Linked DNA regions of Mytilus edulis. The protein of the gene in region 2 binds, or shares a complex with, the protein of the main gene of each other region. Links are inferred from orthologs where the notes say so. Each region holds a gene or a part of one and is shown on either strand. Other genes may lie near its edges.

What was found.
Region 1: gamma-tubulin complex component 5-like (region 2) and nucleoside diphosphate kinase homolog 7-like share a complex: the UniProt entries of both Homo sapiens proteins name them as parts of the gamma-tubulin ring complex. The link is inferred for Mytilus edulis from reciprocal best matches to the Homo sapiens genes TUBGCP5 and NME7.

What each region holds. Positions count from the first base shown.
Region 1 is NC_092346.1:81,916,170-81,933,495, reverse strand, and holds nucleoside diphosphate kinase homolog 7-like, read right to left. Parts: upstream 12,513-17,326; 5' UTR 12,395-12,512; coding exon 12,389-12,394; intron 11,364-12,388; coding exon 11,259-11,363; intron 10,797-11,258; coding exon 10,627-10,796; intron 10,281-10,626; coding exon 10,119-10,280; intron 9,354-10,118; coding exon 9,199-9,353; intron 8,658-9,198; coding exon 8,502-8,657; intron 7,927-8,501; coding exon 7,691-7,926; intron 7,486-7,690; coding exon 7,378-7,485; intron 6,829-7,377; coding exon 6,796-6,828; 3' UTR 6,597-6,795; downstream 1-6,596. UniProt on the Homo sapiens protein: Possesses an intrinsic kinase activity. Displays 3'-5' exonuclease activity with a preference for single-stranded DNA. Does not seem to have nucleoside diphosphate kinase activity.
Region 2 is NC_092355.1:38,663,196-38,680,162, forward strand, and holds the start of gamma-tubulin complex component 5-like, read left to right. Parts: upstream 1-9,010; 5' UTR 9,011-9,054; coding exon 9,055-9,123; intron 9,124-11,990; coding exon 11,991-12,097; intron 12,098-13,126; coding exon 13,127-13,238; intron 13,239-13,668; coding exon 13,669-13,768; intron 13,769-14,541; coding exon 14,542-14,621; intron 14,622-15,734; coding exon 15,735-16,024; intron 16,025-16,967. UniProt on the Homo sapiens protein: Component of the gamma-tubulin ring complex (gTuRC) which mediates microtubule nucleation.

The DNA.
Region 1 (17,326 bases), on a different chromosome or scaffold from region 2:
GTATAATTTGTATGATGTCATCGTCTGCGTCGTCCTAAGACACATTGGTTTCAATAATAATAACTTTAGTTTAAGTGAATAGATCTTCATGAAATTTTTTCAGAAGGTTCAATACCACAAAAGGAAGGTTGGGATTGATTTTGGGGATAATGGTCCCAACTGATTAGGAATTAGGGGCCCAAAAGGGGCCCAAAACAAGCATTTTTCAGTTTCAGGATAATAACTTGTGTAGAAGTATTTCAATTGCTCTGAAATAATACTGCAATGTTTAAAACCACAAGTAGTAGGTTTTGATTCATTTTAGGGGTTATGGGGTCAAAGTTTAGGAATTAAGGGCCAAAAAGGGGACCAAACAAGCATTTTTATACGACCGAAAAATTTGAAATTTTTCGTCGTATATTGCTATCACGTTGGCGTCTGCGTCGTCGTCGTCGTCGTTGTCCGGCGTCCGAATACTTTTAGTTTTCGCACTCTAACTTTAGTAAAAGTGAATGGAAATCTATGAAATTTTAACACAAGGTTTATGACCACAAAAGGAAGGTTGGTATTGATTTTGGGAGTTTTGGTCCCAACATTTTAGGAATTAGGGGCCAAAAAGGGCCCAAATAAGCATTTTCTTGGTTTTCGCACTATAACTTTAGTTTAAGTTAATGGAAATCTATGAAATTTTGACACAAGGTTTATGACCACAAAAGAACGGTTGGGATTGATTTTGGGAGTTTAGGTTTCAACAGTTTAGGAATTAGGGGCCAAAAAAAGGGCCCAAATAAGCATTATTCTTGGTTTTCGCACAATAACTTTAGTTTAAGTAAATAGAAATCAATGAAATTTAAACACAATGTTAATGACTACAAAAGGAAGGTTGGTATTGATTTTGGGAGTTTTGGTCCCAACAGTTTAGGAATTAAGGGCCAAAAAGGGACCCAAATAAGCATTTTTCTTGGTTTTCGCACCATAACGTTAGTATAAGTAAATAGAAATCTATGAAATTTAAACACAAGGTTTATGACCATAAAAGGAAGGTTGGTATTGATTTTGGGAGTTTTGGTCCCAACAGAATAAGGGGCCCAAAGGGTCCAAAATTAAACTTTGTTTGATTTCATCAAAATTGAATAATTGGGGTTCTTTGATGTGCCGAATCTAACTGTCATGACTGTGTATGTAGATTCTTAACTTTTGGTCCCGTTTTCAAATTGGTCTACATTAAGGTCCAAAGGGTCCAAAATTAAACTTAGTTTGATTTTGACAAAAAATGAATCAGTTAGGTTCTTTGATATGCTGAATCTAAAAATGTACTTAGATTCTTGATTATTGGCCCAGTTTTCAAGTTGGTCCAAATCGGGGTCCAAAATTAAACTTTGTTTGATTTCATCAAAAATTGAATAAATGGGGTTCTTTGATATACCAAATCTAACTGTGTATGTAGATTCTTCATTTTTGGTCCTGTTTTCAAATTGGTCTACACTAAAGTCCAAAGGGCCCAAAATTAAACTTAGTCTGATTTTAACAAAAATTGAAATCTTGGGGTTCTTTGATATGCTAAATCCAAAAATGTACTTAGATTTTTTATTATGGACCCAGTTTTCAAGTTGGTCCAAATCAGGATCTAAAATTATTATATTAAGTATTGTGCAATAGCAAGTCTTTTCAATTGCACAGTATTGAGCAATGGCAAGAAATATCTAATTGCACAATATTGTGAAATAGCAAATTTTTTTTTAATTAGAGTTATCTTTCTTTGTCCAGAATAGTAAGCAAGAAATATCTAATTGCAAAATATTGTGCAATAGTAAGATTTTTTTTAATTGGAGTTATCTTTCTTTGTCCAGAATCAACTTAAATCTTTGTTATATACAATATACAATGTATATTCACTTTTTACTACCAACTGATAAATTAAAATAATCTTTACCATTCAGTGATAACAAGCAGTTTTTTTACATCTTAATATTTTATGATGTATTTAAATGAGTAGTTATTGTTGCAAACTCCATTAGAAATTTTAATTGAGATTAGTTTTGGAATAAGGGAAAGGGGGACGTGATTAAAAAAATTGGGTTCAATTTTTCTCATTTGAAATTTCATAAATAAAAAAGAAAATTTCTTCAAACATTTTTTTGAGAGGATTAATATTCAACAGCATAGTGAATTGCTCTAAGAGAAAACAAAAATTTTAAGTTTATTAGAACACATTCATTCTGTGTCAGAAACCTATGCTGTGTCAACTATTTAATCACAATCCAAATTTAGAGCTGAATCCAGCTTGAATGTTGTGTCCATACTTGCCCCAACCATTCAGGGTTCAACCTCTGCGGTCGTATAAAGCTACGCCCTGCGGAGCATCTGGTTCTAGTTTCAAGACAATAACTTATGTGTAATTGTATGGATCTCTCTGAAATTGTACCACAATGTACCATATAACAAAGGGGAGGCTGGGATTAAGTTTTGGGTTAATTGCCCAAAATATGTAGGGATAAGGGGCCAAAAAGGGCCTAAAAGAAGCATGTTTCTAGTTTCCAAACAATCATGACAATAACTTGTGTTTCAGTGTATGGATCTCTCTGAAATTGTACTACAAGGTTCAATACTGCAATGGAAAGCATGGGATTGATTTTAAGGGTTATTGCTCCAAGGGGGTATCAAAACGTTGGGGGGGGGGGATTTTTTGTTTACCATTTTTTGAAGGGCTTCCTTTTTTCAAAAATTTTCAAATTTCAAATTTGAAAAGTTTCGAGAAGAAATCTTCAATTGCACAGTATAGTGCAATAGATTTGTAAGATCTTTGACCACATTAATTTTGTGACAAAAACCTATATTATATCAAAAATTTGATCACAATCCAATTTCAGACAGAATCAAGCTTGAATATTGTGACCAAATTTGCCCCATCTGTTCAGGGGGTAACCACTGGGGTCGTATAAAGCTGCGCCCTGCGGAGCACCTGGTTGGCTCATATCTCTAAAACCAAAGCATTTAGAGAAAATAATAAAATAATAAAAATTGTTTATTAGGTCAAGATCTATCTGTCCTGAAATTTTCAGACTAATTGGGCAACTTGTTGGGCTGCTGCCCCTGAACTGGTAATTTTAAGAACATTTTGCAGCTTTTGGTTATTATCTTGAATATTATTATAGATAGAACTGTTAATAGCAATAGTGTACAGCAAAGTAAGACCTACAAATAAGTCAACTTGACCAAAGTGGTCAATTTACCCCTTAAGGAGTTATTGTCCTTTATAGTAAATTTTTAACAATTTTCATAAATTTTGTAAATTTATACAAAATATTTACCACTGCCAAGCTCATCATAGATAGAGATAATTGTAAGCAGCAAGAATGTTCAGTAAAGTAAGATCTACAAACACATCCCTATCATCAAAACACAATTTTGTCATGAATCCATCTGTGTCCTTTGTGTTTGATATGCACATAGACCAAGGTGAGCGACACAGGCTCTTTAGAGCCTCTAGTTATAAAGATGCCTTATGTTGTGAAATTTGTGCTGTGGTATGTCCATTGTCCATGTCACTCATTTTCATGGTTCACTGACTTACTTGAAAAAAAGTAAAGATTTTAGTATTCTTAATTTCTCTCTTATATGAGTAATAGGATAACTATTTTGTATGTTCATAACTTGCAAGGTCCTTATGCCTGTCACAGTTTTCACTTGACCTCAACCTCATTTCATGGATGAATGAACAAGGTTAAGTTTCATGGTCAATTCCCATAACTCATATGATAAGCAATAGGTCTATATTTGGTGTATAGAATGATTGTAAGGTACACATGTCCAAATAGCAGGTGTCGTCCAACCTTGACCTCATTTTCATGGTTCAGTGTTTACAGTTCAGTTTTTGTGTTTTTGGTCTGTTTTTTTCAAATACTGTATGCAATTGGTCAACTATATTTGGTGTATGAAAGAATTTTACAATGCACATCTGCCTGGCATGTTTTATTTGACTGTGACCTTAGTTTTATAGTCCATTGCTCAATCTTAAGTTTTATTGTTTTTTTAATACTCTTAGCAATACTGGTATGTCGACTATATTTGGGGTATGGAATAATTGTAAGGCCAAAATAATAATAAATGTGTTAAAAATAGGGTAGGTATGTAGGCAATATAGTTTTATTTTACAAACATAGTTTATAGCTGGTTACTTCTAGGGAATCAGTCCAACTTTAACATTGCTTATTCTAAAATGGCACAAAAAGTGTTAGGATAGGCACTAAAAATTAGGGTAGGCAGGGTAAACGGAAACACATGTATAATTGTTTTGGGCCTAAGGTGTACATGTCTGTCTATCAATTGTCTTCTAATCTTAAATTTATTTTTATGGTTCATTGGTCAATCTTAGGTTTTCCTGGTTAAACTAGTTTCTCAGACTTACATATTATACAATATGTCAACTATATGTACAGCATATAATGATCGTAAGGTGTACATGGCTGTCTAGTAGGGTCCATCTGACCTTGACCTCATTTTCATGTTTCATTGATCAATATGATTTCCTGGTTAAATTTGTTTCTTAGAAACTATGGGCAATATGTCAGCTATGTTTGAAGCATATTTGGTGTATGGAATGACTGTCAGTTATAAATTAACTTCCAAATTGGTTTATTTGACCTTGACCTCATTTTCTTGGATCATGTTAATCTTATGTGATAGTTGTAATAAAGCAATTTGTCATCTACAATTGATTTAATTAAGGTAGACCCTGCTTGTGGCAAGATGCATTTGATTTGAACCATGAACTTGATTGCCAGGTTTTTTTTTTATTGAAGGGAGGTTGTTCTTTGTGGACACACTAAATTCCTCAACTAATAAAAAGTGGTCACTATGATACAGCAAAGCCTGCTGAACATGGCCTTAGAGCAACAACATGCATGCAATCAATCATTTGAGGAAAGTATGGACAAAGTAAAAATTCATTATCACAATTGTTAAGTACCTTAGATTTGATAGCTGCATTGAAGTTAGAACAAACACTAAATGCTAACTCAGACCATTTAATTTGTTTATCAGTCTCATGAGTGTAAACGCTGAAAGTCTGGCCTGTATTACTTTTTTCAAATTTTATTTTACCTTGATAATCCTAAAGATATAGTTTTAATACAAGTATGATACTTGAAGTATCTCATAACTTACAGCTTTTACATTAATGCTAGCAAGATAAATCTTTGTTTGGCTTGCTTGCTTTGTTGTTATCAATGTTTGCTCAAGCATGGCAATTAAGATAGGCGGGGTTTCAGCTTGTATACATCATACTTAAATTTTATTGGACGTTATGTTTGAGGTTAAGGACACTACATTTTAAAACATCATATGACAAATATTCTCACATGTTTCCTTACCTGTAAATAAATATACAATACAGTCAGGATTCTATTTCGTCAAAATTATCTCCCCATTACGGCAGTTCATTTTCACAATCGTAGAAATGGAAACCAAAAATTTTTCGAAGATATGCATTTTCATCATCCAACTTAAAGATTGTCGTCAAATACTTTTAGTAAAATAGCTATTCGAACACACCTACTCTGATTTTGTGATTCATTGGATAGGTATTTCACTAGACCCCTACATTTCATCTTTTAGTATTGTGATTTTTTTATGTTATAAAGTCAACCTGTAGCTTTGCTATATAAAAATGATAGAATTTGAAGCGAGATGATGTATTAAATACTCTTCCTTTGCACGTTTTCAAGACAAAATATTCATCTCAAACACACCCTAACATAAAAAAAGGTGCACTCGATTTTCTCTTTTCGATACAATTGTTACCCATTTATTGGAATTTTTTCTTCAGTTACATAAATGAAAGGGCAGACACGGAAACAACTGAACTTATAGATTGATATGTTATAAAAAAAAAAACCAATATAAATTTACATTTTTCTTTCATTGACCAATTATTGTATTTTTACAGGTGAGGAAACATGTGAGAATATTTGTCATGTGATGTTTTAAAATTAAGTGTCCTAAACCTCAAACGTAACGTCCAATAAAATTTAAGTATGATGTATACAAGCTGAAGCCCCACCTATCTTAATTGCCATGCTTGAGCAAACATTGATACACACAAAGCAAGCAAGCCAAACAAAGATTTGTCTTGCTAGCGTTAATGTAAAAGCTGTAAACATTAAAGATTTAAGAATGTGAGGTTAGTAACCTGAAGTTTAGTGGTTGTCATTTGTCGATGTGGTTCATAAGTGTTTCTCATTTCTCATTTTATTTTCATTGTTCTGTTTGAATGGTTTAACACTAGTCATTGTTGGGGCCCTTTAGATCTTGCTGTTCGGTGTGAGCCAATGCTCCATTTTTAAGACTGTACTTTGAATTATAATTGTTTAAAATTTACAAATTGTGACATGGATGGAGAGTTGTCTCATTGGCACTCATACTACATCTTCTTATATCTATATTATATAAAACCACAATAGTCAGACATATACTGAATAAAATTTACCTATTGCTTATAGACCAAACCATGAAAATAAACATTTCATGCTAGAAAAGTTTTTTGTGTAAGTTTCATTATACCCATCACCTTTTCATAGCAAGAGGCCAAGAAGATAAGAAAAAGAGAATATAGTATATATATATATATAATTCATTTTATGGTAAAAATTGATAGAAAGATTTAGATATTTACAGTTGGACATTTTGAAAAGATTGATGTCAATGCATTAAGTCTTCAATAAAATGCTGAAGTGGTTCATTCCCTTCTACAATACATGATATCACAGCTGTCTATAGAGTTTAATGATCTGATTCAATAAAATGTCTCTAGGTGCTTCAGCGATCCAAAATCTTGAAGAAATATTCAACCTGAAAACAAATGTAATATTAATATTTCAGTTTCATCATTTGCCAGTCTTCTGGCTTTATCTTCCAGAATCTTTTTTTAAATGAAATAAAAAAGTTAAATCCTTTGTACTCCATTTCTGATGAATGTTGTGTATGAAATAAATAATAATAGGCTTCTTGTACTTTCCTGATGTGTGTCTTTTAAGCTTAGTAAATGACTGTAACTTTACTATGGATTTAGATTTGCATGTGGATACAGTATGTATGTTTATCATTCCATCCCCTTTTGACATTAGAAATTGACAATTTTAAATGTTTTTTATTTAAAAAAAATTAAAATCATTACTTTTCTTTTCTGATAATCTAGCTACATGTATATAGTATAATGGAATTAAATGTCCTGTTTACAATAAATCAACCTGTCAAATGTGATTTATATAGTGCAAGTTTGCATGTTGTCCATGTATACCTATTAAAACATTATTAGAACCACAGATACTATTGTGTGTTGACCTCACCCCAACATCAATGTTATAAACAAACATACATCTTTTCAGCATTAATTCTTACCTCTAACAATCCATCCTCAGGTAAGTCTGTGCAGTGGACAGCATTTTGTACTTTGTCTACACCAAACAAGGCTCGTAGAGTTCTAGGTCTTAAATGGCGTGCTATTTCCTGAAAAAGAAAAAACAGAAATATGTTTATTGGTGACAGAAATTTTGTTTTTTAAGTTTTTTTATCCATAGTTGGGAATTATATGTTGGCCTCTAGATTCCTATTTTGATCTTGATTAGTGCTGCCTTGTAGACATAAAATGCACATATTCTTTTACTTGTATCCTTAATTTTACATTTATCATGTTTAAAACTTCACAACTTACTGGATCTGCTGGTCCAACCATTTCTCTGAATTTTGTTGGTGCTTCCTGTGCCCTGATCTCCATAGCAATGCATGGACCTGACGTTAATTCTGATACCATAGAACCATATTCCTGTACTACTCCTTTATACACCTCATAAAATTCTTCAGCATTTGCCTTCTCCATGTGGAATATTTCTAACACCGATATTTCAAAACCTGCCTCCATGATAGCACTGATAATTTGTCCAGAAAGACCTACAATATTTCATTGAATAGATTTCATTTATTTTCATGTCATAATCTTTTACTACTGAAGATAGTGTTATTTGCAAGCATCTACAAAGTAAAAAGTTAAAAAAGAAACAAAATCATTTTCCTATCAATCAGCTATTAAAAGTATTCAATATTCACTTATATAGTTGAACCTCATAGTGTTGATCTGAGTTTTGTTATGAAATAATTTTCTAGCTACAGTGTGTTTGGTGGCACTGTCTCATTGATGTGTAACCAGATTCCTATATTATTAATATTAACACGCATACATTACTTAATAACCAGTTGGCAAAAAGCTAGTATTACAATGATAATAAATGGCTTCGCCTAGCACAGCTGGATACGACAGCAGATGTACGTCCAACCCTGAACAGTTAGGGCAAAAATGGACACAATCTTCAAACTTAATTACAATCAATTTTTTGGCGGTATTATAAAAATATACCATTGCTTATATCAGTCTTACATCAAATGCATCAGAAAGAATTTTTGATTGATATTGAAAAGGACAAGTATTAAATGATTAATACAAACATAAGATTATTTCAAAACCATACCTGCTTTCACTGCATGTGGTTTGATGACACAACATGTACATTCACTATATTTAGCAGTGTTCTGTCGTCCAGGTCCAGTGCTGGGGAAGAAAAACTCCACCTCTCTAGCAGCTGATGTTGTACTGTCTGAACCATGGCAGGCATTTTCTGTGTTGTCTGAAAATTACCAACACTTTATATATCAAGTTAGATCATGTGGACATGAAAAATATAGTTATAAGGACTTCATGTGTCTGTTGGTAGTGTGTTGTTGGTTTGCTGTGAATGCTGTCTCATATCAAAGTACAAATATATACCCAACATCACCTTTAATTTAAATACATTTCTGCAAAGGTTTCAAAAGGAACAATTTATTATGTAATTCCTGAAACTGTATTGTGTTTGTTTGATAGTAGATTGACACTTTACAAACTGAAATGAGAAACTTAAAATTGGTAAAGAAAATGTGATTTTATAAGCATTTATAAAAACATCATATTAATTTCTTAATGTACAAATTACTAATGTAACCTTTCTGTTACATTTCTTTAACAAAAATGTGATCAAAATATAGTTTTTTGTATATTGACAATTGACAACCAAAATATAACAATAGTAAATGTTCTAAACTCATAATCCAGAAAAATTGTGTTTAAGATTGCTGTTTTACTGTAATAAAAACTAACAATCCCTTTATTTAAAATAATTGAGCACAAACCTTTTCCAAATCTTGCCCGTATTGACTGGGGTGCCACTTTTCTTGCTTCAGCTGAGTCTGTTGGACCAAGTAACTCTCTCCAGGCAGAGATTACTCCAGGTCCCATCATTTCAAAAGCTATCACTGGTCCTCGAGTTATAAAATTTAATAAATTGCTGTGTTGGAGAGAAAAGTTATTTACCTTTAATAAGTCATATAACTATTGTATTTCAGCCAGGAGCATGTTATTTTAGTGGTTGTCTTAAATGGTTGCTGTTTGCCAGTATGTATTTTTATTAAATTTTTTTTCTTTCAGACTGTTTCACATTTTTCCTGCCAGGGCCTGTAATAGCTTTAACACTATGATCATTGTTGATGGCCAAAAGGTAACCTATAGTTGTTTACTCCTCTTTCTTTGATCTCTTGCATTTTATTTGTGGATAAAAGTTTCATTGTTTAACAAAATTGTTATTCAAATTTTATTTTCTTTAACAGTTGTGTTCTTTTAACATATACGTGTCTGTTTCATGGTTTCTTTGCTGATTTCAGCATCTTCGGTACATTGAGTTCTTTGTACAATATTTTCTTAACATTTGTTTATTAAATTGCTTCTGAAAACAAATTCTATTTATGCTTTATTTTTCATGAAAAATCTAATTTACATCAATTGATTAAATTTTAGCATTATTAGCATTACCAAACAAAAGTAAATTTAAGTTCTAGATCAATTCTTTCATGGAGAAATAAAAGTATTACTGGGGTATAACAGTTCATCTATGGTAGTACATTTTTCAGGTGCAAATTAAATTTAAATAGTGATCATTAAAGATTTGTAACAGTAAAAAAATCAGTATACGATTTAGGATTCACTTCCAGTTTTATATATTCAAGTAACCTTAATTTGCAACAATGGTAATCACACAGATAATTTTAGTACTCACTCTAAAAATGGTTTTCCCTGATGCTCTTGATAAAATTGGAAAGCTTCATTTCTATTCAGCTGACACATCTTTAACTGTGTAATCATAAATCCTTTTTGATATATCACATCTAATATTTGACCCATTTTGGCTGTGGAATCGGGTTTTATGATACCCAAAGTTCTACAAATAGAAAGTAACACAAACTCTCATGAAAGTAAACTGCATGTATACAGATCTTTATTTTATTTCAAAATCAGCACAACAAAACTTCAATGTTGGGATTTTGTTGTTTGAAAAATTGTAATGTCGCACAATCCTTCATTATCCAATACAGCACAGATCTTATTTTTTTTTATTTCATGTATATCCTGAAATTCACATTAGTTAAAAATTTGAATATGAAAAGTAGTATTGAAATATGCAAAGAAAACTATGATTATTAATGACAATTTGACTATTAATAACTGTATTCCTGTTAAATATAGTATAAGTAACTGCTTTATATACTAATTTTATTTCTACAAACCTTTCTTTTTTATGAGAAAATCTGGTCCTAGTGTAATCATCTCCATAATCTACAAATTTCAGCTGTCTAGACAAGATGTTTACTGTACTACCAATATATAAATCTTCTAGCCGTAAACAGTCACTAACTTTTGTCTTCTTCAGAAATACTCTGTGATTTTTAATGTCAAACTGAAAGATATAACATCATATATATATATATGTATTGCAAATGGATATAAAACTTTGTCATAACATATCAAATGTATTATTCAAGTTATTAGGTGTAACATTTAAATTTATCATATTATACATTTGTAAGTGTGAGAATTTTTTTACAGGATAAACACTAAAGATTTGTGTTGAATTATAAATGTTGATGTCCCCAATGAATAATTTATAAGAATGTAATAGCTAATGGGCATAATTGATATTACCCTCTAACTACCAGCTGGTCTACTTTGAATTTTATTTCTATCTTGTGAAAATTAAGATTTTAAACACTAGAAATGATGAATTGAATTTAACATATTCTTTTTTGTAATCTTAAAAAAAATCATTGAATTTAAGAAACAACTTTTCATTTTAAATTTTATTATTTCCAGCTATCAAACTGGTAAAACATTTAATGTAATGGACCTTTTATGGTATTACCATTTCTGCTGTTTGATCTTTGACATAATACATAAACTGATATCTGCGTATGAAGGCTGCATGTGGGTCATACCATTCAGCAATGAAACAATAACGGTCTTCTTCCTAAATAAACAATATAATATACATGATATAAAGGTTAATAAATTATGGGATGCTAAATTGACTATATCCAGGTTTTGATTATACCAGGTGCTAAGTTAACGTGACTAGATTTCATATTGTCTTGTTACCAAAATGTCATTTGGTTCTGAATTATGTTCAGAATTTGAAGGGTCTGATTTTAGATTTAACTGGTGAATGCAACCAACTTTCCGCTCCCAACTTTCGGCTGGAAAATTGGATTGTTCTGTCTGTATATGTATGTTACACAGTGCAGGATCCGATCACGGATATATGCGCATTGGAAGGAGAGCTGGTTGGTTAGTCCAACTCTAGGAGGGCAGGCCTGAAACCCTCAACTGACTTTGGGCATTCAATATCCTTGTCCAGATGGTTCCACTGGACTATTGATTTGGGAAAAAAAGGGTTCTTTCGGATGTCTGTTTTGTAGTCAATCAATTTGTATGATCTGCTATTTCTAGTTTCTTGTCTCTCTACGATGTTTGTGTATTTTTATTGAAAGTCACAGTCATGATTGTTGTGGGTGTACAAGTCAAATCGGCACCCATAGAAAAAGTCAAATCGACACCTGGTTAAATCGGTTAAAACATCTTTTTGCTTAAAATACTGAAAAAAAACATATATTAAACATATCTAATACGGGTGCCAAAATTACAATATCAGGTGCCGATTTAACCAGGTGCCAAATTGACTAGGTGCCAATTTGACCAGATGCTGATTTAACCAGGTGCCGATTTGACTAGAATTCGATGTGGGATGTGAGCACATGAAGAGTCATTTTACATGTGACGAGTCATTTTACGTGGGGCGACAAGATGATCAAGAGTTTATCAGATAGCACCTGTCTATATTTAAATACAGTACACACCAAAGCAAATCAAGCAAACTATATTTGCTTTCAGAGCTCCTGCATTTGCCTGGTCCTGTTCAAACATGATTAAACTAATAAAATTATTATCTAATCATTTGATTTCTTTCGATGATTTCGTTTTAAAATTTTCTCTTACCCCCATGTTGACACTGGTACGTATATATGCTATGGTAGGAGGTGTTGATCCTTAATAATATTTGAAAATGTGTTGCAGTCCGTACAAGTTGTTGTTGGCAACAAACTTTAAAACCTGATTTGTTAAGAGTTTTCTGATTGGATACCGTGAACACTTCCTTTGAATGAAACCGGAAGTTGTAATGTTTTGGGTGGCAGAAAAAAATATTGTTTACTGTTTTTCAACCTGAAAAGAAGGTACTTAGACAAACTATGTAGGGTATGCTGTTTAAAAACAGAAAATTGAATATTCAGTGCAAACAAAAAGAGAAATAAGCCAAATCCTAAGCGCCTGTGATGCATGACAATGTTACAGTTTCCGGTCGTTCCGACCACAAACCAAGTCGCTAGGCCCAAAATTCAATAGTCAAAGTCGATACGGCCAATCCCCATGGAAGAAATATTGAAAGGAATAACTACAACACAATTTCAAATGTTTCATCTGCGTAATTACCGCCAATAAGAATACTCGTTAATCAGTTTACTATATGGGGAATGGCAGTTGATCCTCGCAAGTGATAGATTACAGTGGTCTCGCTAGCCCAAAATAGAAGGGCGCCGAGCCCTGGATGCCCTCTAGCCGCGCCCTGGGTGCCTTCATCCGCGCCCTTCTGCCCTGACGTCTTTTTCCAAAATTCTCTTGTGCCGTTTTGGTAAAATTGCCTTTTGTTTCATCGATTTCTGATCTCCAAGTTAATTACATATATGACACCTGTGTGATTGCCCCCAGGTTAATCATGTCATTACAATCAATTACAATGATAAAGACTTCAAAGGTGTTAATATCTAGGTAATTTAATTAGGACAATGTATCTTTTTGTCATACATTTGATGAATGTGTCAGGAGTGTGTTTAGCTTGGGTCTGCATTTTCGATTTCCAAGTCACAATGGAAGAGTGTATAAATGAAGACTTTCATGACTTTAGAATTGAATTTAAGTCATCAAAATAAAACTATGCCTTCACAGAAATGCATTCCATCTCAACTTGTTAGCGACAAGCACAGTTTTTAATTGACGCAAACCTGTTGGAAATTAATTTTGGAGTTACTTCCCCTGTTTTAGCTTATTACAAATTTGTGCTCTAAAAATATTATCTAGTATCAAAAAAAGGAATAAAGAACCAATTGAATATATAATAACATAATAATGTTACCTTAAGGATATTAACTGTCTTTGAACATATTAAAAAAAATATATTGCAATTTCTGTTTGATAATTATACTTTTAGCAATCCATGTTCTAAACATTGATAAATTAGTAATACACAAAAACATAAAAGATCTTTTGTATAAAAAGCTAAAATTTTTATACAGATAAAAAAAAATATTCTTTGACAGTGGGTAGAGTGAAAAACTATAAAAACATAATATGTTGATGAAGATGTACTATATTATTCATAACTACACAAACAATGAAATAAAGACTATAGTTAAAATGCATTTTTATTTAAAAAAAACAACAAATACAGTAAAAAAAAAGAGATTGGTTAACTCGTGATACACACAGAAACGTAGACAAAAAAATTAGCAGTGCCTTTTCTTATCATAAAAAGTGCCCTGCCCTCCACTGGCACCCTGCCCCTTTTGATTTCTAGCTAGAGCACTGGATTAAATCACTGACACTTTTCGGTCATTTTCGTGTTCACAGAAAATTACAAACAGACAAGTTGTTATCGTTCATATGTGCATAGTTACCCGAAAAGTCCTGGCACTCGTAACATTCTGCTGATGTGCGCTGCCAAATAGAGTAATTCATTCAATAACAACGGTACCTCGAATGACTGAATAACACTTGTAATGACCGAATAACACTTGAAATTTTAATAATATGAGGCAGGCATTACCTGTAAATGGGGACGAAGTCTGTATGAATTATTTTTTTGTAACTAATAATTTGTTAAAAAAAAAGAAACGTAAATACCGTAACGTTTCCGATTTTGGTTCTGTTGTTAGGGATTTTAGTTGTGACGTTATTTAAATTATGACGTCATATGCAATGTAAACAAAGAAACGCTATCATCAGGTAACGTTTTTTCATATCAAGGAATTATTAAAAATGAAATTGGTATTGCGCGTTCCTTCCTATTTTATACTAGACTGATAAATATATATTTTACTCAAAGTTTCATACAAACGAGACCGGAAAAAGGAAGTACATTGTACATTTCTGCGCAGGTCCCGGATTTCAAAACACGACAAAAAAAATTTGAACGATTTTGAGTTCATTAGTACAATGAAAAATTCGGGAAATTTTCCAGAATTTTTTTTTTATTGAATTTTCTACTGTTATTGGGGACTTCGTCCCCATATTAACACATATTGGTGACTTTTAAACATTGATTATTAAATAATAGTATATTATCGATGTATTTTATAACTCATCAATGATTTACAGAAGACAGATAAGTTCATAAAAACTTTAAATTCAGTGTGTACATCCAATATGGTGACCACGGAAATCACAATGGCCGCCATGTTCGATGTACACACTAAATTTAAAATGATTTTTATGAACTTATCTGTGTTAATAATTCTTATATGATCTGCATATTAGGGAATACGTTGATACTGAGACTACTTTAATATGTGTTATAGTAGTCTCAGGTTGATATGATTAGTCGAGAGGACTTCCGGTAGTTAATCTTGACATTGATTATTTTTCGATAGACAAAGTTGACCAAACTTCTTTTCTTAACCAATGTAAACAAGATGGTACACAGATGTTGACAAATTTATTTTCACTGCACGTTAATATCATTAAATGAAATAATACACAAAATCATTAGTTTGAATGATAATAAGAGTCTGTGCAGTTTACTTTTTATCAGATAGGAAATTTCATTGAGGACATATTTTTGCATTTACCAGCAAATATATTCATGCACCAGGCCTATTCAATGACATAAATATACAATTTACGTGTGGTAGAGGTAAAAAGTGTGGAAAAACATATCTCCAATTTTAAAGAATTGTAAGGATTAAACATTTTTTAAAGGAATTTATTGGTGCATAAACTTGAATTGGTCGAGTTTATACACCAATAAATTACTTTTAAAAGGTGTTAAATCCTATAATAGTTTAAACCAACAGCTAGCACATATAAAATTGGAGGACAAGGGTGGCTCGTTTTCAATTTTAACATTTACAGGTAGCACAATACAAAGATTTTCTGGTCTCTACATCGATATTACCTGGTTTAACTCGTGATCCGCTTTCAAAATTTATTTTACAATACAATACTATCATAATTTATAAACATCTCACCATCAATAATACATTTAGGAAACGGTCCTTGTGTGAGATTAGTGTACATGTTTAATTGCAAATTAACAGCAAAATTACAGTGATAAAAGCATGTTTAAAGTTTAAACTGTGGGCTTAATTTCTACAAAAAATAAAACTAACATAAATCAACATACCTGTTTCACAAAGATGATGCTGCCAGTTGTCAAATGTGTCACATTGTAGAACATCTTGATGAGACATAACCGTCTTCTTGCATACAAACGAACTATGATTGCAAATGAAGAAGATCACACATTTCATCGTAGTTTATACATTTTTTCCCAAAGCTTGGTTTTTACAATGTTTAAGCCATGCATTTTCTTTTCAGTGAGGATGGTGATTGTTCAAGTATAACTCAACAGATTTTGATGTTCAAAGTGCAGCATTAATACCAATTTTTGGTTTTCATATACTTCTTTATGTTTTTTTCTTCTTTAATCAAATCCATCCTCTTATTGTAGGTCTACCATCCACTAATGACCACAGATTAGTATATTGTGTGCTCATAATTATTTAATATGCATATCAAATAAATTGCTGTTTAAACAATTTAAAATAATAAAAAAATATAAGGACTAATGATTAAAGATTAGCATTTGATTTGTTTTGATATATTTGAAAGAATTATGATCGCATCAAATTAGCAATGAAAGTTTTTTATTCATATGTTGCTATATAGTATGATGCAATGTTTATGAAAGAAAGTTACAATACATTGTGAACTTCATGTATGTATATAGATGTAAATAATATCAAATAAATCATGGGTATGAGTTGGTTAAATAAGGGTACAAATAAACTCATCATAGATACCAGGACTAAATTTTGTATACATGTATACGACAGACTCGCGTTTCGTCTTCAAAAGACTCATCAGTGACGCTCGAATCCAAAAAAAGTAAAAAAAGGCCAAATAAAGTACGAAGTTGAAGAGCATTGAGGACCAAAATTCCTAAAAGTTTTGCCAAATCCAGCTAAGGTAATCTATGCCTGAGGTAGAAAAGCCTTAGTATTTCAAAAATTACAAGTTGCTGAAAGTACAAGTTGTCATGTACCCCAAAATATGACACCTGAATGTCGTTACATTGGAAACACATTAAAGAAAATATTACACTGTACTATCTTTGGTCATGTTGGTATTTTTTTTAAGTCAAAGATAAAGCAATGATTACATGAAGCTTGCATAAATTTTAAATGGACATATATGTGTCATTCAGGCACAGCTGTTGTGGACACACATGTCCATGCAGCAAAAAGAGAGCTCTAAGAAGCAATATTGCTGCATGTTTTACATACATGACATGTAAATGATGGTTGTTTCATTTATTTTGTATACATGTACATTTTTAGATTCAATAATATTTGAACAACACTAAAGTAAACTATCTTTTATAGTCAACATTTTTCACTGATTAGATCGGGTCATCAGGTCATGACATTAGAAGATGCAGTTTACTTTTATTAAGTGTTGTTGTCAAAGAAGTGTTAAAGTATATTTTTATCTGACAATCTGCATTCCATTTATAGTTGGTAAAAAGATCATCATTATGTTTGCATGTTATATGATATGCATGCCAAATCAAAATAAATTTTCCGTCTATGATCAATGACAACT
Region 2 (16,967 bases):
AAAAGCGCGTGACGTTTAGCGCGGTGAATAACACTTTCTCAGGTGAATATGCTTTTTTATTCAAAATCCAATTCATATAGAGAAACCTACTAAAATAATACCAATATGGAATAATTATTTTTTAGGAATTACAAACTTACAGCCGAATATTTTTTTAAGTTCTGTTCAATTTAATAATTACATTATATGTATGTTTCATTATAATATTTTATTCTGATTGGCTAACTGCACATCACGTGTTATTCCGTAAGCAGTTGCATTGCTCAATACAACTTTTCACTCATGATAACACGTGCTCCAACAATAAAGTGCACAGGTGAATTAAATAATAAAATATATAAAATTCGTGTTTTCATGATCATAGCTAAACAATGTAATTATAAGTATTGAATGCTTCTTTTTGTAACTTTATAGGGTTGTAAAAGCGTTGATCGTGCGTACATTTTTAGAATGAAGCGCTTCCGCGTTTCATACAAAATGTACTTCGGTCAACGCTTTTACATCCCAATAAATTTACAAAAAGAAGCATTCAATTCTTAAATAAAATTCATAATTGAATAATTATATTTATCAACAGATTTGTCACACTGAATATTTATGAAAACATGTCATTCGTAGATAGATTAAAACAGTAAAATCTGTAAATTCATGAACCAATTTTGTAGGTTTTTTTTTAATATATGAAAATCACGTGAGGTACCCAAATTGCACCTATTTTGACAGGTTTTTTTTTCACATACGTTTATTTATAAACCAGACAAAAGGTCCCCATCATTCTGTTTAGTTTCAAGATGTATCATTATTCACTATATATGGTTTCACCAATTTAATTTTTAATCTATACTGAATCATAAAAAATGGTTTGAAAAGACCTCCAGACGGTCTAGCTATGATTCTGAAATAAGGAGTACCCAAATTGCATCCATGCTTTAAATTCGCAGCCTTAAAAATCGAATTACGGATAATTTGTTTTATTTCTTCCAATATTTAGACGGATATTAATCTATGCTTACTAATCATTTCTTAAGGAAGGGAGGCTTGTAACATATTTTGTTTGCTCATTTTGAAAATATGCATGCATGCATGATCTTTTGGTGGACGTCGCATGGCGGCGTTTCTGTACATTTTAACTTTTGTAGTTATACTTCACCCGTTGATTATGTATTTAGACATACTGTGAACGTTTTGTGCATACTAAAATATAAAATTATTTACTTATGTTGAAAGACGTGCATAATGTCAAATGATAAATTACAAATTGGTTCGTCTCTTAAGAAAACATGCATGTAAGGTTTCCGCTGCTACTTTTACTAAATATGTGTAATTTGGGTACTCGGCGCAACTTGAGTACTGAGAAATCCTATCAAGTTATAAATGTCCTCGATATTGAATTGCCAAATTGGTTAAACAAGGAAGTTAACTTTAACTACCCAAATATTACCAATGTATACTATACTAGATAATATTTATAAAGAGACGAATGTTACATTTTGAAAAATGTTTTTCAATATTTTGTTTTACCTTATACTAATACTTATTGACATAACAAGATTACAGTTAGAGCATATCATTAAGCAAATGAATCAAAATATTATATTCTATTATGCCCACTCCATATATCTCTCCATTCGTTTATTCATACTTTGACTTTGCTGAAAACAGATACATACATTATCTTATACATATTCTTCATATTTAAAAATATAAATAGAAGGTCAATCTCTTTCTTCCTCACAAATGTTTAATTTCCTCCTCTACCAATATACTAATATAAACTTCACAATCTCTGTCTTCCTCACAAATGTTTAATTTCATCTCTTTCTTCCTCACAAATGTTTAATTTCCTCCTCTACCAATATACTAATATAAACTTCACAATCTCTTTCTTCCTCACAAATGTTTAATTTCATCTCTTTCTTCCTCACAAATGTTTAATTTCCTCCTCTACCAATATACTAATATAAACTTCACAATCTCTGTCTTCCTCACAAATGTTTAATTTCATCTCTTTCTTCCTCACAAATGTTTAATTTCCTCCTCTACCAATATACTAATATAAACTTCACAATCTCTTTCTTCCTCACAAATGTTTAATTTCATCTCTTTCTTCCTCACAAATGTTTAATTTCCTCCTCTACCAATATACTAATATAAACTTCACAATCTCTGTCTTCCTCACAAATGTTTAATTTCATCTCTTTCTTCCTCACAAATGTTTAATTTCCTCCTCTACCAATATACTAATATAAACTTCACAATCTCTTTCTTCCTCACAAATGTTTAATTTCATCTCTTTCTTCCTCACAAATGTTTAATATCCTCATCTATCAATATACTAATATAAACTTCACAATCTCTTTCTTCCTCACAAATGTTTAATTTCTTCGTCTATCTATATAATAAAACATTTTAATTAGACATCTGCTCGTATATTAAAAAAAAACATTAAATACAAATTCTTTATATCTAATAAAAAAATGTTTTCTTGTCGCTAAATAGTCTTCTTCTTTCTTTCTTGTGTATTAGCTTCCTATCTAAGGAACACCCCGCAATGGGTAATCAGGAGTATTTACATTAGTGGGTTAATCAAAGATTTATTTTATATTTTTAAAAGTTAATTACAATAGGGTTAAAAAGTAAAAAAAAAACAAAAAAAGGTAAAAATAATCGACAAAATTAATAATGTAAAAAAGGGCCAGTAGACGTGCTCTGTACATATGGTGGAGAGGTTAACATGGTTAAGAGATAAAAATACAAATAAATTTGGGATGGAAAAATATTCACAGGATTAGAAAAATAAAATGTACATGTTTGGAGGCATAAAATCTAAAACCCAACTTGTCCATCATAAGTAAAAAAGTAAAAATTGCTTAGGTACAAAAGTTACTAAAGTACATTGTCTATACTAATCATTCCTAGCATTCACATACTTCCATTTGAATTTCACTTGTTTTCTAAGTTCTTAAGAAGCTGTAAGCGGCAGATATGTATTTTGTAACAGAAGTCTCTAGTCAGTGACTCGACATTCATCTTCTGGGTTTTACTGAGGTTTTGCATACTGTGGAAAACTGAGAAATCTAGCAAGAGTGCTACAATGTTTTGGTTAATGTTAAAAAGTTGTTCCCATCCTTTGCAGCCTATGATATTTGTGACCAGGATTTTGAGAGGAAGGAAATACTTCATACGAGTTTCCCTTAAAGCTGGACAGAATGTTAAGACATGCGTTAAATCTTCGTCCTCCCTCTGACACAGCAGGCATGTTGCATTTATCTTGTATTGACTAAATTTGTATTTGTCGGCCTGTACCAAGTATGTACCAGTGAGCATACGAGCTTTGATCATGCTTTTCCGTACATCTAACAAGCTCTGTGATGCAGATTCCCAGACTGGGTGGACAGTACCTATCTCTAAAATGGTTGTGTTGAGTGAACTCAATGATGATTTTGACTTTGCCTTTTCTTGTAGTTCATAGGTCCAGTATTTGTTAATTGTGGATCTCAGGATTTTTTTCCATACACCTTTTGAAGGAAGTTTTATACTGGAGTCAAGAATGTTTGGCAGGTTGTATTATTGTAGCAGTAAAATTGATTGATGAAAGAAGCTTTTAGGATTATCGGAATTGACGGATATTTGTCTTTTAAGAATTTCCTTTAATTTAGAGTTGTCACAGGACAGAATTGCATGTAAGAGTGTCAGTTTCTTTCTATGGATTTCTCCTTCTACCGGTAGGACACCCAGTAGTAAATAAATGGCAGGAATAGCCGTTCTTTTAGAGAAAGATTGAATTGATCTGAGAGATTCTTTGTGAAACTTTTCCAGTAGTTCCATTTGAGTTTTGGTAAGAGTTAGGACTTCCAAGCCATACAAGAGTCTAGGTAATACATAGCTTTTGTATATTGTAACGGAGATTTTGGGATTTAAGCCGTTGGTTCCATGCAGACCTGAGTTCATTAGAGCATACTTGGTTCTTCTTGCAGATTTGATGCGATCCTCTATGTTGATATCACATTCCTTTCTAGTTGTTCGTTTTATACCCAGATGTACCGTTTCTTCAGAAGCAGAAATTTCCTTTCCCGACATGTTCCAGGAGTAAGGCTCGGGATTTTTTGATGATTTATAGTGGATAATTTTGGATTTAGTCGGGTGAATAGTATACTGATGTTGGTTTGCATATCTCTGTAGAATATTAAGCATCACCTGAAGTTCTTCTGGATTTGAGCTCAGTAGTGCTACATCATCAGCACATGTTGGTGCGCCACAGTATATTGTGCCTAATATAAAGCCTAATGAGTTTTCTTCCAGTTCTTTAAGAAGATCTTCCACAAATATTTTATATAAGTGGGTTGATAGAATACCCCCTTGTCTAACTCCTTGTTGGATGTTAAAGCTGTCACTGAATTCTCCCTGCCATTTAACTTTGGAGGTGAGACCGCTGTAGAAGTCTTTAATTAGTAACCATATATCAGGGTGTGTTCCACGGTCGAGAAGCTTGTCAAGAAGAATGGTATGTTGGACGACATCAAAAGCCGATTGGACGTCGACAGTTGCTAGATATAAGGATAATGCACTGCTTATTTCACATTTACACTCAGAGATTATTAGACTAGCGAAGAGTGGCCACAGACCTGCAGTAAATCCAAATTGTAAGTCAGTACCAGAGTTAATAAAGAGTTTGCCAAGAATGCAGAATTCGTGTAGTTTGGAGAGTACTGGAGTCACAGTGATGCCACGGTAACTGTTAACCAGAGATGGATTTTTTTCCTTTTTTAAGACTGGCGTCAAGATTCCTGATTTGAAGTCAACTGGGACTTTTCTTTCCTGCAAGATTTTATTGAAAATTTTTGTGATCACTGGTACCACAGTGTGTTGAGCGTATTTAAGATGTTCTGCACATATTCCGTGTTCGTCCGCTGATTTACCTGTGTTTAAGAATTCAATTGCTTGTTTTACTTCCTTTTCTGTGTATGGGTCCATTGATGGCAGATTTTGACTGAAAGTTTCCTCAACTATTTTCTGTCTTATTTGGCAGAGTTCCAGATAAGCATTGTCATATTCGTTCTCTTTTGGAAGGCTGAGATCTTCGTAGTAATTTGCGAAGGCACGGCTTTGATTTTGGGAAGAGAAGTCAAATTTACCGTCAATTTCCAAGCCGGAAGTTTCCGTTTTAGACTTTGATTTATTTCTATTGATGAGTTTGAAGAAGAGTTCAGATGAAGGATTGTCCATAATTTGCTCATATAGCTTTCTCCTGTCAGTTGCCTGTTCTTGTCTCTGTTGACTGCGGAGTTTCTTCTTTTCACTTTTGAGATCTTGCTTGCTTTGATGATTTTCTGGTTTACCCAGTGCTTTCCATTTAGAATATAATTGTTTGCAGGTTTTGAGATGTTTCCTGACTTTCGGTGAGGCTTTCCATTTTGGACCTTTTAGCTTGGTTATTTTTGATGGGACTGCCAGATGCGAAGCTTTTAACAGAATAGATGTCAGAGTTTTAATGTTCTCTGAGGTTGTTTTGTCTTCCCTTATGTCAGATAGTTTTTCTGAGATAGTATCCCGGTATAGTTGTTCATCAATCTCATTCCATTTCAGTCTTTGAACAGTTTTTTTATTTTGATTAGAGAATTTTTCAAGCAGAGGGACAGCAATATTGGTGATCATTGAGACAGGTACATGAGAGGAGACATTAGATGATGTGTTTTCCCAGATCTCATGATTACAATAAATATCCTTGTTGTTGGTCAGTATGTAGTCAATTTGCGAAGAAGATTGTCCTGAATGGTGGAAGAATGTTTTTTGTTCACCATAATTTCCGACAGTAGATAGGTTCATTTCCAAAACAAATTGTTTCAAAAGCTGGTCATGTTTGTTATTCCTACTAGTAGCGAGAGTACCATTTAGATCTCCACAGACAACTACTTGGTGAGTTGATTGATATTTCTCTATAATTGAGTGAATTATATCCAGACAGACTCCATATTCATACTGTGAATCGGTTTCCCTTGTTGGCATGTAAGTGTTAATTAAGCAGATATTCCAATTTGAGGTAAATAAAATAGCGACAATTCTTTCGTTTCCATCAGGGAGTTTTTTAATCTGATTGTTCCAAGTTTTTGGCCAGAGGATGGAAACTCCTGCTTGACCTCTAGGAGTTTGAATCCATCTAGTGGTTCGTTAGAGTCATGACATCTGGTATGGTTTTCCCATTCAGGTAAGAGCTTATTAAGGAAGTTCGACTGACACTCCCAGAGGAAGTGTTCTTGAAGACATATGATATGGGAGTTGTCGAGAATAGAGTGAAGAAAGGATGTGTTTGATTTTATCCCTTCAATATTACATGTAGTTAGTCTGATGTTCTCGGTTCTACTAGAGATTCCAGATTTTCCTTTTGTTCTGGAGGTTTCTCCTGGAGGCAGTTGTTTCGAAAAGGGGAATTTGACTTGATGATCCCTGTTCTATTTGGGGGTTGAATATTGTCTGTGGCAGAGAATTGGTAAGTTGTTTGATGGCTAGCCACTTGAGCTTTTTGTGAGTGTTCTATTGGCTGATGATGAGTTTCAGCTGTGGTAATGACTTGGTTGCTATGAGAATGATCCAAAAGGATGTCAGCTTGTTCTTTGTGCATTTCTGGATCTAAGTAGTTGACTATTTCTGAGTCAATTGGAGGTGAAGAAAAGCTAGTAGTGATAGTCTCATTTTGTGGCTTTGACATTCTTCCTATGTTTGTGTTTGAGGAAGGTTGAGAGGGTAGCTGTTTCTTTTGTTGGTATCTCCTGTTTGTCCAGCCTCTTTGACCAGTTTCCATTGATACCGACTGTGGTGTGATTTTAGCCATTCTTGCTTGAAGATTCGAGTTAGGAGCAGGTCTCGTTGAGTTCTCATTGAAAACCTTGTTATTGAGGTTGTATCGACCTGAGCTTTGTTGAAGATGAGGAGCCGGATGTTGAAAACCTAGATCAGTTCTAGATGCATTATTGTGGTATATATGTGGCTGAGGAATAAAAGGTGTTGGTATGTGAGGTGCCCTGTTCCCGTGAAAGTCCGGTACTTGCTGGGATGAGTAGGCATAAGTTGGTGGCAACAAGTTTTGTTGAGGGATACCTGGGTATCCATGGCCAGTTGCTACATGAGCGTTGGTTTGAAATTGAGGTTGAGGTTGATGTAGCATAGAGCCAGGATGGTTGGAGAACTGAGTTTGGCTGTAAGCTGGATGCAAGTTCCACTGAGGTATGAAAGGTACTGGTTGCTGAGGAGGATAATGCGGTTGGAGCAGATTGTGCTGACAAGGAGGATGATAGTGGCTCATAGGTCTGTTCTGAAGAGATAGCTGAGTAATTAGAGCAGTGTTGATGCTCATATTTTGAGCTGTTTGATTCTCCAAAATGCGCAGTCTGTTTTCCATTAGCTCTTGCTTGTAATAGGTATCTAAGTGCTGATGTGACAATGGAGAATTTGTATCGTTCCTGTGCCTTGGGTTGATATGAGGATTAGCATCAATCCTATAACTGTGGTGGGAGTTTTGACGTGAAGGATCAATTTCAGCCTGATCATTTTGGTGTTTAATGTGATCTTTAAATGTCTGAAGAACAGTGCGGAGTTGATTTACTTCGTTTTCTAAATCAAGAATTCTTGTTCTCTGTGTTATCAGTGTTTGGTCATGCGCTAAGACAGAAGACTTAACCTTTAATTTTCGTTGATTGGTTAATGACCTAGAAGTAGGTGAGTTGTTTCTCTTTGCTGATTTGCCCCTATCTGTAATGGGGTTTCTAGTTGAGGAAGTTGAATCGCTAGAAGTACCAGTCAGGACAGACTTTACCATGGTATCATCTTTTTCCAAGTTGTTTGCTGTCTGATTGTGGCAGCTAGTGATACAGGGATTTACGTAAGTGTCTGTGGGAAATTCCAGGGATGATTTCTGAGCTGGCGAGTCCATACATATGTCAGTAGTATGATCCTGTGTTTCGTGAGAGCTTATAGCAGGTTCAGAACTGGAGGTATTAATTGGTAACTCTTGATTGTTATCATCAGTTTGTGGAATGAAGGTGGCTCCTACATAGAGCAGATCGTCGTTACATTGGTCACAGTGATATTCTAGTTGATGAAAGGAGTTGATGTGGTCCTCTGTTAGGCCAACACATTTGTAGTGGAACCAGTTATTGCAAGAATCACAAGCGATCCCTTCTGTCTGGACATTTTGTTCACAGTTTGGGCATATTTCACCATCCTCCCTTTCAGCTAGTTGTAGTCCGCTGGTATCTTCTGTTGTTTCTAATGCTTCCATCTGGTTTCTATTTAGGTCCTTCTGTATGATGTTGGATAAAGAGTCTTTAATGATACTTAATTGAGAGTGTATGGTTTTGTTGCAAATGTTCAATTCTGTATAATGATTCTGAATCTCTGCACAGATTTTGTCAAAAATGTCGTTGATGAAGATATCAACCCTGCCGCCATTAACGGTCATCTTGTTTGTAGTATGATAAAGATTCATGGTAAATTTGAGAAGATTGCCTCAGTGGTTGATTGTTTGCTTTGCGATTGAAAATTTTGTAGCAGGAGTCAATGTTCAGGTTAGAAAGTTCAACGCCGTGCTGTTCTACTACTACAAAACTAAGGTTGAACTCGGGAGATTTAATTAATTGCAGAATTTTTTCTTTAATAAGCTCATAGGCCCCAGTGCTGAATTCCATAACGAAATTTTTTCCAGCTTTCATTTCATAATGTAAATGTTCCTGTTTACATTTTAAAGTTTTTGTTTCTAAGGCCTTTGGTCTGTTTAACGTGTAGTTTCTATTGTTGCCATGTATAGTTAAAATTTCTTTAGAGAGTAAGTTTCCTGTAGACTGAGATTTCTTAGACGTTCTGGTTTCCATCTTTCGCAACATGCTATCGTGACTCTCTTGTCGCTTCTTATCGCTTTTTGACGCTTCTTGTCTCTAATTAGTGAGACCCTATTTGTACGTTGTTGTCTTATATTTTTGTACATGATTTTTGGTGTAACTTTCTATATCTCTTTCGGAATATACTTAGTTTTTATGAAGACAGCTGAGAACTCCCGATGGAATGGCGCGGTGGAAAAACAATTTTGAACCTGATATTAGAAATTTAATCACACTTTTTACAGGATTTAGTGTATGTTTTAAAGTAGATGATTTAACCACATAAGACGGTGTACAGAGCATTAATAAGATCATAAGTACTGTAGGCCACAACGACCTGTTTCTAAGATAATCAAACATAATTTTTCATAACACGTTTTTGACAGTGTCTTGCTAACAATTCCATATAATATTTATACTCTATGCTGAATACGATAATGAAACAATGTTTTGGCCACTTTATTTCGGCCACTTAACTATCTCAAAACAACAACATATTACTTGAATAAATATATACTATGTTTTGTCAGAATTTAATTGTGAACCCATTTCTAGTCACTTCGGCACCAAGTCTGAGATTACTCTGACGTCCAATGACTGTTTTGCCAGACAAGCTGGGGCTGTGGGACGTCAGAGCTCGTCCCATATCAAAAAGTGGATATTTGCCCACCCAAAATTAGATGCGCTGCTTTGTCGCTTCTGGTGCCAACTGGCGGCCTTGGAATTATATAAATCGGGCATCAATCTGTTCATTTTTCATTTATGTAAGTTTCACCTACCTGCCACCCTTTATTTTCTCATATTTAGACAGATTTCACAGTGACCCATCGATTCAGACATTTTTCTTTTATCAGTCAGGGGACTTACATTTTCTAAATCACTGATTCAAGTAACATTATTTCCATAAGGTTGGAAGTTAGAGTTGTCTTTCTTTAATAATCACCTATTTAAGTACTACAAATTAATCACTAAAAGAAGTGATTTAATATTAGTGTAGCTTTAAATATAGAATACTAATGATCCAGGGACTAATTATGTTTCTAAACTTATCAGAACCAACATCTGTGTTGTCTAGGATGACCAGGTCATTCAGGTGATGATGACCTTGTACTGAATCTAAGATAATGACATAAAAATCACTTGTTTAAGTATCAGACCTCAATTTCCTTCCCAAAAATCACTTCTTTAAGTATCATTCTTTTAATAACCCCCACTAATTTCAACACCCCCGAACAGTGAAATTTTTATCGCGAACAGTAGAATTTTATTACATAATCTGAAAGATGAAACCTTGAACTTTACAGGAAAAATACTCCCACTGCTGTGAAAAATCTGTAAAGAAAGTATCAGTTCATTATGTAAAGCCATTATTATAGCATTTTTTCAACTAAAATAGAATTTTCAGGTAACTGATAGCATCAAAGGCATAAACCTTGCTATTTAAAAGAAGCAAAAAGTTCATATTTTTTAATTTTACTAATTAAAAGATGTCATTTAAACCTATGTGTTTAAAATTTTGAAAAAACTACAAAATCCCTATTTGTGACAAAACCTCGAATTTGCTACTCAAATAAGTGATTTAAAAATCACTTATTTCAGTAAGTCCCCTGACTGTTTATTTTCAAAAGGACTTCAAGTTATGAGGGATTTCGCGACCTCGGGACTCAAATATGCAAATGATTATACTTTTATCACCTCTTTTATCAGGTTGGGGATAACCCATCAAATGGGGAACTATTACCCAAATTAGTAACAATCCCTCATTTGAGTAGTCCAAGATTACTCTGACGTCCATCGGCTGATTTGCCAGACAAGCTGGGGCTGTGGGACGTCAGAGCTCGTCCCATATCAAAAAGTGGATATTTGCCCACCCAAAATAGATGCGCTGCTTCGTCGCTTCTGGTGACGATTGAGGGCCTTGGAATTATATAAATCGGGCATCAATCTGTTCATTTTTCATTTATCTCTTCATTTATGTAAGTTTCACCTACTTGTCAACCTTTATTTTTCCATATTTTAACAGTTTTCACAGAGACCCATCGATTTCTGCATTTTGACTTTCATTTTCAAAGATTATCACGTGACCACGAGAAAACAAGTGATAATTTATGCAAATGACCATATTTTAACACCTCATTCATTTACAATGCAAGTAATCTAAATGTCCGAGAGCTTCCGATTGTTATTGTGGTTGGCACCAGAAGCGACAAAGCAGCGCATCTATTTTGGGTGGGCAAATATCCACTTTTTGGTATGGGACGAGCTCTGACGTCCCACGGCCCAAGCTTGTCTGGCAAAACAGCCATTGGACGTCAGAGTAATCTCGGACTATTGGGCACCTATCAGTTACATGTTGACTGTTGTCTCGCTTGTATGAATAATTTCCTCTTATCATGCTTATGTACACCATTGCTCACAGTACTTAGAAAATTTGTTTAGGTGCAGGATCAGGTTGCAGGACTTGCTAGTTATTTAAAGCGCTTTAATGTAGAAGCAAAGATTTAATTATTGGCTCAACTCCAGAATAAATTATGAGTTTGGTGGCATATCTTTTTGTATACTGTTCTTGATCATTATTTCTGGTTAACTAGCACAGTTAAAAATTTACTTTTTTTCTGGAGATGTCCCTAAACATATCCCAATACATACATGTATAACATGTACATGATGTATAAGGTGGGTCTCATTGGATTGCCGCTTTTCTATAAGCATGACACAAGAAAGTCAAATTAATGTGCCATGAAAACAGGAAATGAAGTCTAGCGGGACACAGGAAATTACAAAAACTGAGAATTGCTTGCGTACACAGTGTTAGCAGGATAGGGAATCTGACGAAACTGTAAGTGGGATCCGGGATCAGAACCCCCAAATGAGACCCCCTATAACATGTACATTGTGTATAAGGAGCTATCATATTGATACGAGATACATGTAAACATGAACTTCATAAAACTGTTTATTTGTTTGCACTATTTCAGATAACTGTTTATATTGTAAATGTTGCTACATATGTATTCTTTCATTTACAAAATCCCAATTTAAAAACTAAAATAGAAATATTGTAGTATTATGTTATAAATATTATCATGATTATAAATTGATCTGCTATCTTTTTTTCAGGAGGAAGAAGATAATTTTAAGATCTGTTTTCAGTTTGCTGATTCTAATATTAAATATCACAGATTTCTTAGTGTTGACAGCCACAAAGTCACTCAATCATTAAAAGGGTAATTATATATACAGTATTAAAACTAAGTTTTATTGCATGAATATTGGGGAATATTGTCCCGAGTAGAATTTTATATTGCACGTGCTTGCGAGTGCAATATATGTTCTACGAGGGACAATATTCCCCAATATTCATGCAATAACCCTTTTATTGTATAGCAATATAATATTTAAAAGTAAAAATTGGTTTAAACTAAGATTTTGTCGTTGATGACGTCATGAATTTTGAAGATTTATTGCACTAGTGCAATATTAGAATTTATTGCACACTAACTTTTGGTTACGTTCTGTGGGAAATATTATATTGCTATACAATAATAAGTTTTATTGTCATGAGACAGACCTTGAATATGTCACATAAAGATTAATTATATATATTCATAAGCGACATTAAAATTCTAGAAATGCTTTAATGAGTACTAAATAACTTTGTGACACCACCTCCTCTAAGAGATTATATATACATTTATTATTTGTCAATATTTTCTTTTGATAATGTAGGGGAGATATATATATATATATACTTTAGCGAATAATCAAACAGTGCAAATTTATGGAACTGCTAAGGTTAAGACTTCTGTGCCTCAAGGAAAGCACTGGATCCATGTATATATTTTAGTGCAAACATCGCATCCTTTAATTTTAGGAACACATTATTTATATTCCAAGAATATCGTTCTTGACTTAAGTGATTGTCGCATAAAATCTAAACATTTCAAGGTTTTAACTCAAAGTCCCGCTTCTATACCTCCGAATTCAGAAGTCCTTTTTTGGGGACACGTCAATGGAAAAGTGCAATATGGAATGCAATGGCTCAATATAACATCCATCTTGTCAAGCACAGAGTATCAAAATTTGTTTAGTGTCTTAAGCATTATTGTCCATCTTAAAGTATAACCACAAACAAACTGGGATCTACATCCAGAAAACTCTTTCAACATAGCGTCTAATATTCAACGGATATAAAATATCATACATACTCTTTGTACATTAATATTGTTACAGTTAGTCGACTGGTTTTTTTTCAGTGTTATAGACAAGTGTACTATTCATTCTGAACAAAGAAAAGCGAACACACTTAAAACATTAACAGATGAATTTTTAGAAACTCCAGTGTTTGAAGGCAAAAAAGAAGGAAAGGTATATTGTTAATGTAGTTTAAAATATCATAAAAGATTTTTTTTAATTTAAGAAGGGAATCCAGGGTCCAGAAACATGAGAAATGCACAAGATGATTTTAACTCTGCTTTGATTTTCCAGAGTTGTAACCTCAATTATGAAACAGGAATGACAGTATATATATTTGTTAACGTAACATGGCTGTATGAGACCTGTGAATGTGAAAAGGGTCATAAAAGGGTATAGGAAATAAAATAGAAAACCAATATTCATTTAACAATGATCGAAAAAATAATGTTTTCGCATTCCTTTTTTTCCTTTGCACCAAAAAAAAACAACAATGAATACATAATTTGTATTAACTATTTTTATGACAAGCAGTGAACATTGTAAATATAAAATGAATTGCATGTCTATCTAGTAATACTGTGAAATATTTGACAATTTTCAGACAGATACCCACTATGGCTTACTGAGTTTACTGCTACATCTTGCTGAATCGCCTACACATTGTAGTTATGATGGGGATGGCTTAGTTCTACAAACAGAAGGTATGTCCAGTAAAGACCTGCAAAATTTCCCGATTCACAGGGATGACCATCTATGAAAATAGTATATTTTAATATAAAATGGGGTGAAAATAATTTATAAATGGCATTTAAAAGATAAAAAATATACACTTATTCCAAACTTTTAATTTAGGGTTAAAACACTTATGACATGTAAAAGAGGTACTGTAGGTCCTCTTGTACTTGACATCCTGCATGTATGTTTTGAAAGGTAGGCAGCTTGCATGCCTTATTTATAAATTTTTCCAGATGCATTGTTACATGAATTACGTAGTATTATCAAAATGAACAAATTTGTTTTTTCAAGATAGTTCATCAGTTATTAAATTATGCGAAATACTTATATTGTTTGTTGGTTATAATAATCAATTAAATAGCTGGTTATATTTATATGGAAAAAAACAACAGAATGCAAGTTTTTTTTAAGGTTTATCATTGTTTATACAGCATGATACACCAATCAAGTTGGTTTTTTTTATTAATTAGTTACACCAGTTGACCCAAGGTCAATCGGCGTAGATGACATCATCCAACAATCAGTTGGTCAAGAATTTGAAAGTTGTCTATTTGATTTTTTCAAATTTTATTGTTACACTATCGTTTTTTTCCTGGATCGGATTAGTAATTCTATGCATTTTTTTCACTTGATTATACATACAGTGTATATATCATGTAATATTATTTAGGACCAATTTTAAAAACAAAATTGTTTTATATTTTAGCATTATTATAAAATCTATTTGTTTTGTAATTAGAACCAGAGGATGATTTTGATTGGACAGCATTTCTACTGGATGGTGAATACAGACCATTGCAGGTGTATGATGACTTAGAGGTATGTTAAAGGCCTAAACAATTGGCTGTTTCAGAGTCTAAAGCCATCATGGGTAATTTCATTGTTCGTACCCCAAAATGAAAATAACGTCACGTCATTGGTCAAATTTCCATTGTTTATGACATTTTTAACCAATCAGGACGTTTTGGTGTACACTTTTGAAATTATTACCCATGATGCATTAGATTCTGAAACGGCAAATTTAACAATATAATTGTGATCATGATAATTGTTGGGTATTTTTTTTTCTTTTTCAAAATGTAAAAACAAACTGGAGCTTCTTGAATTTGGCTTTCAGTCTTCAAGTGAACATGCTATTATAAGTTATATGGTTCGCTACTGACCCCATACAGATCCATAGAGGGTTAGTAAAATCCATAGGGGGTGAAGCCGGAGGCTGAGTCCCCTATGAATTTTATTCACCCTCTATGGATCCATAGGGGGTCAGTAGTTAACCGTATAACGAATTTATCAGACGCTGGACTTTTTCTGCTGCGTTTTGTTGAAAAATAAACAATGAAACACAACAACATTAATAGATGACGTCGCCATTTACGCGTCATGAACCCCATATGAAACTAACTAACCCCATACTGTTTCATAGGGGGTCACCATGTGACAGCATTTAACCAATCACAACGTGATAATTCATTTGTGGTCCGATAAAAAGTTTGATGTATCTTTTCATTCATGGATCATAAACTTCCTTTTAAATGAATACTTGTATATATTCTAACATTAAATTTTTATCACATTTATTTTCATGAAATACCATTTGTAACACCCTAACATTTGATATCAAGCTTCATTTTAACATGCTATACTGCCATTTCTCATTAACTTTCTTGTACATGTTGTAATTGAATACTTATAGTTGAGTTAAAACTATGAAGTATTGTTTGAAAATCATTTGAAAATTCATTTACTGATTGTCTTGGAGTCAATTTGTGAGGAGTTCTTGTGTATTCTCAAAAACATTCAGACAGGGACACATTCATCTCAAAGCTCCAAGCAGATATTATAGATTAATAAAATATTACCAAGACAACAGGAATTCTTTAAAATCATAACTTTTTTATAAAGAGAAATCGTATAATTCCTATTATTTTTTAGTCAGATTCAGAAGAAGAAACTTTAACAGAAGATGATGAAGATGAAGACAAAAAGACCACAAAAGATCAAGATTCTGGAGATTTTTCAAGTCATGTGACTCAACAAAATGTGACCTTGTCAACTATAGCAGCAGCAGACAGCACAACATTTTATGAGATAGATGATGTACAACCATCAGATACTGGACTTTCTTGGTTACAGAAAAATCTGGTTGTACAGTATTGGCGGGGTCATGGCTGTACTGAGGAGGGGTCAGAAGGTCATGACTCCTGTAATCTGACACGTGATTGGTTAGTTTTCTTGAAATGGGAAAAGACTAAATTGATATTTGAATGAAATCTATTTTTTAGATCAAATATTGTATCTCGCTGTAAGAATTTGTGTTTTTTGTATTGGGAATCCGAATTAGTTTAGGAAACATACTTAAAGGAGTAGGTCCTGTAAGGACCGATTTTGGCCTCAAATTTCAGGTTCATCTGACGAAAGATTTTGACCACTTCTTAAACACTTAAGTGTCTATTTCACTTGAAAGATTTTAACTCATTTAGTCATTAAAAACGATCCAGTTCAAGCTCAAATATGAAAAATCTATCAAATATGCCGAAAAATGTCACTTTTCAGATGTTTTTTGTCAAAAATGGAAGTGGCCGCACCCGTGTTCATCCTCAACCTTTATATATGTTATGTATTATCATAAAATACAACTTACATTTCAATATTAAGGATGAAAACAAATGCGGCCACTTTCGTTTTACACGAAAACCGTCTAAAATTTAACTAAAATGCTAGAATTGTGAAGATTTCTGTAATTTAGCATGACTTAAAGGTGCCAGTACCCGATATATGTGCATTGCAGAGATGGGTCCGATTACTTTCAATGTAATTGATTAAATTACAATTACTTTGTCATTTGTACGATTAAATTAAATTAATGATTACATCATTTCTGAAAGTGTCTGATTAAATTAATGATTACATTGGCAAAGTAATCATGATTACATCTGATTACAATGAATTAAAAAAAAAAAATATTTTGAATGATGTGAATGAATTAACGTTTAAAATAACTATAGTATTTTTAGAAAGGATTTTTTTATATACATTTTAAAATGATAACTTCCAACTTCATCTATTTAATAAACCACAAAAGTTCACTACAGACATACATGAACATTATGTCACGCATTACACTTTATTATAATTGATCTTTGAATTATTTTGACTTCAATTGAA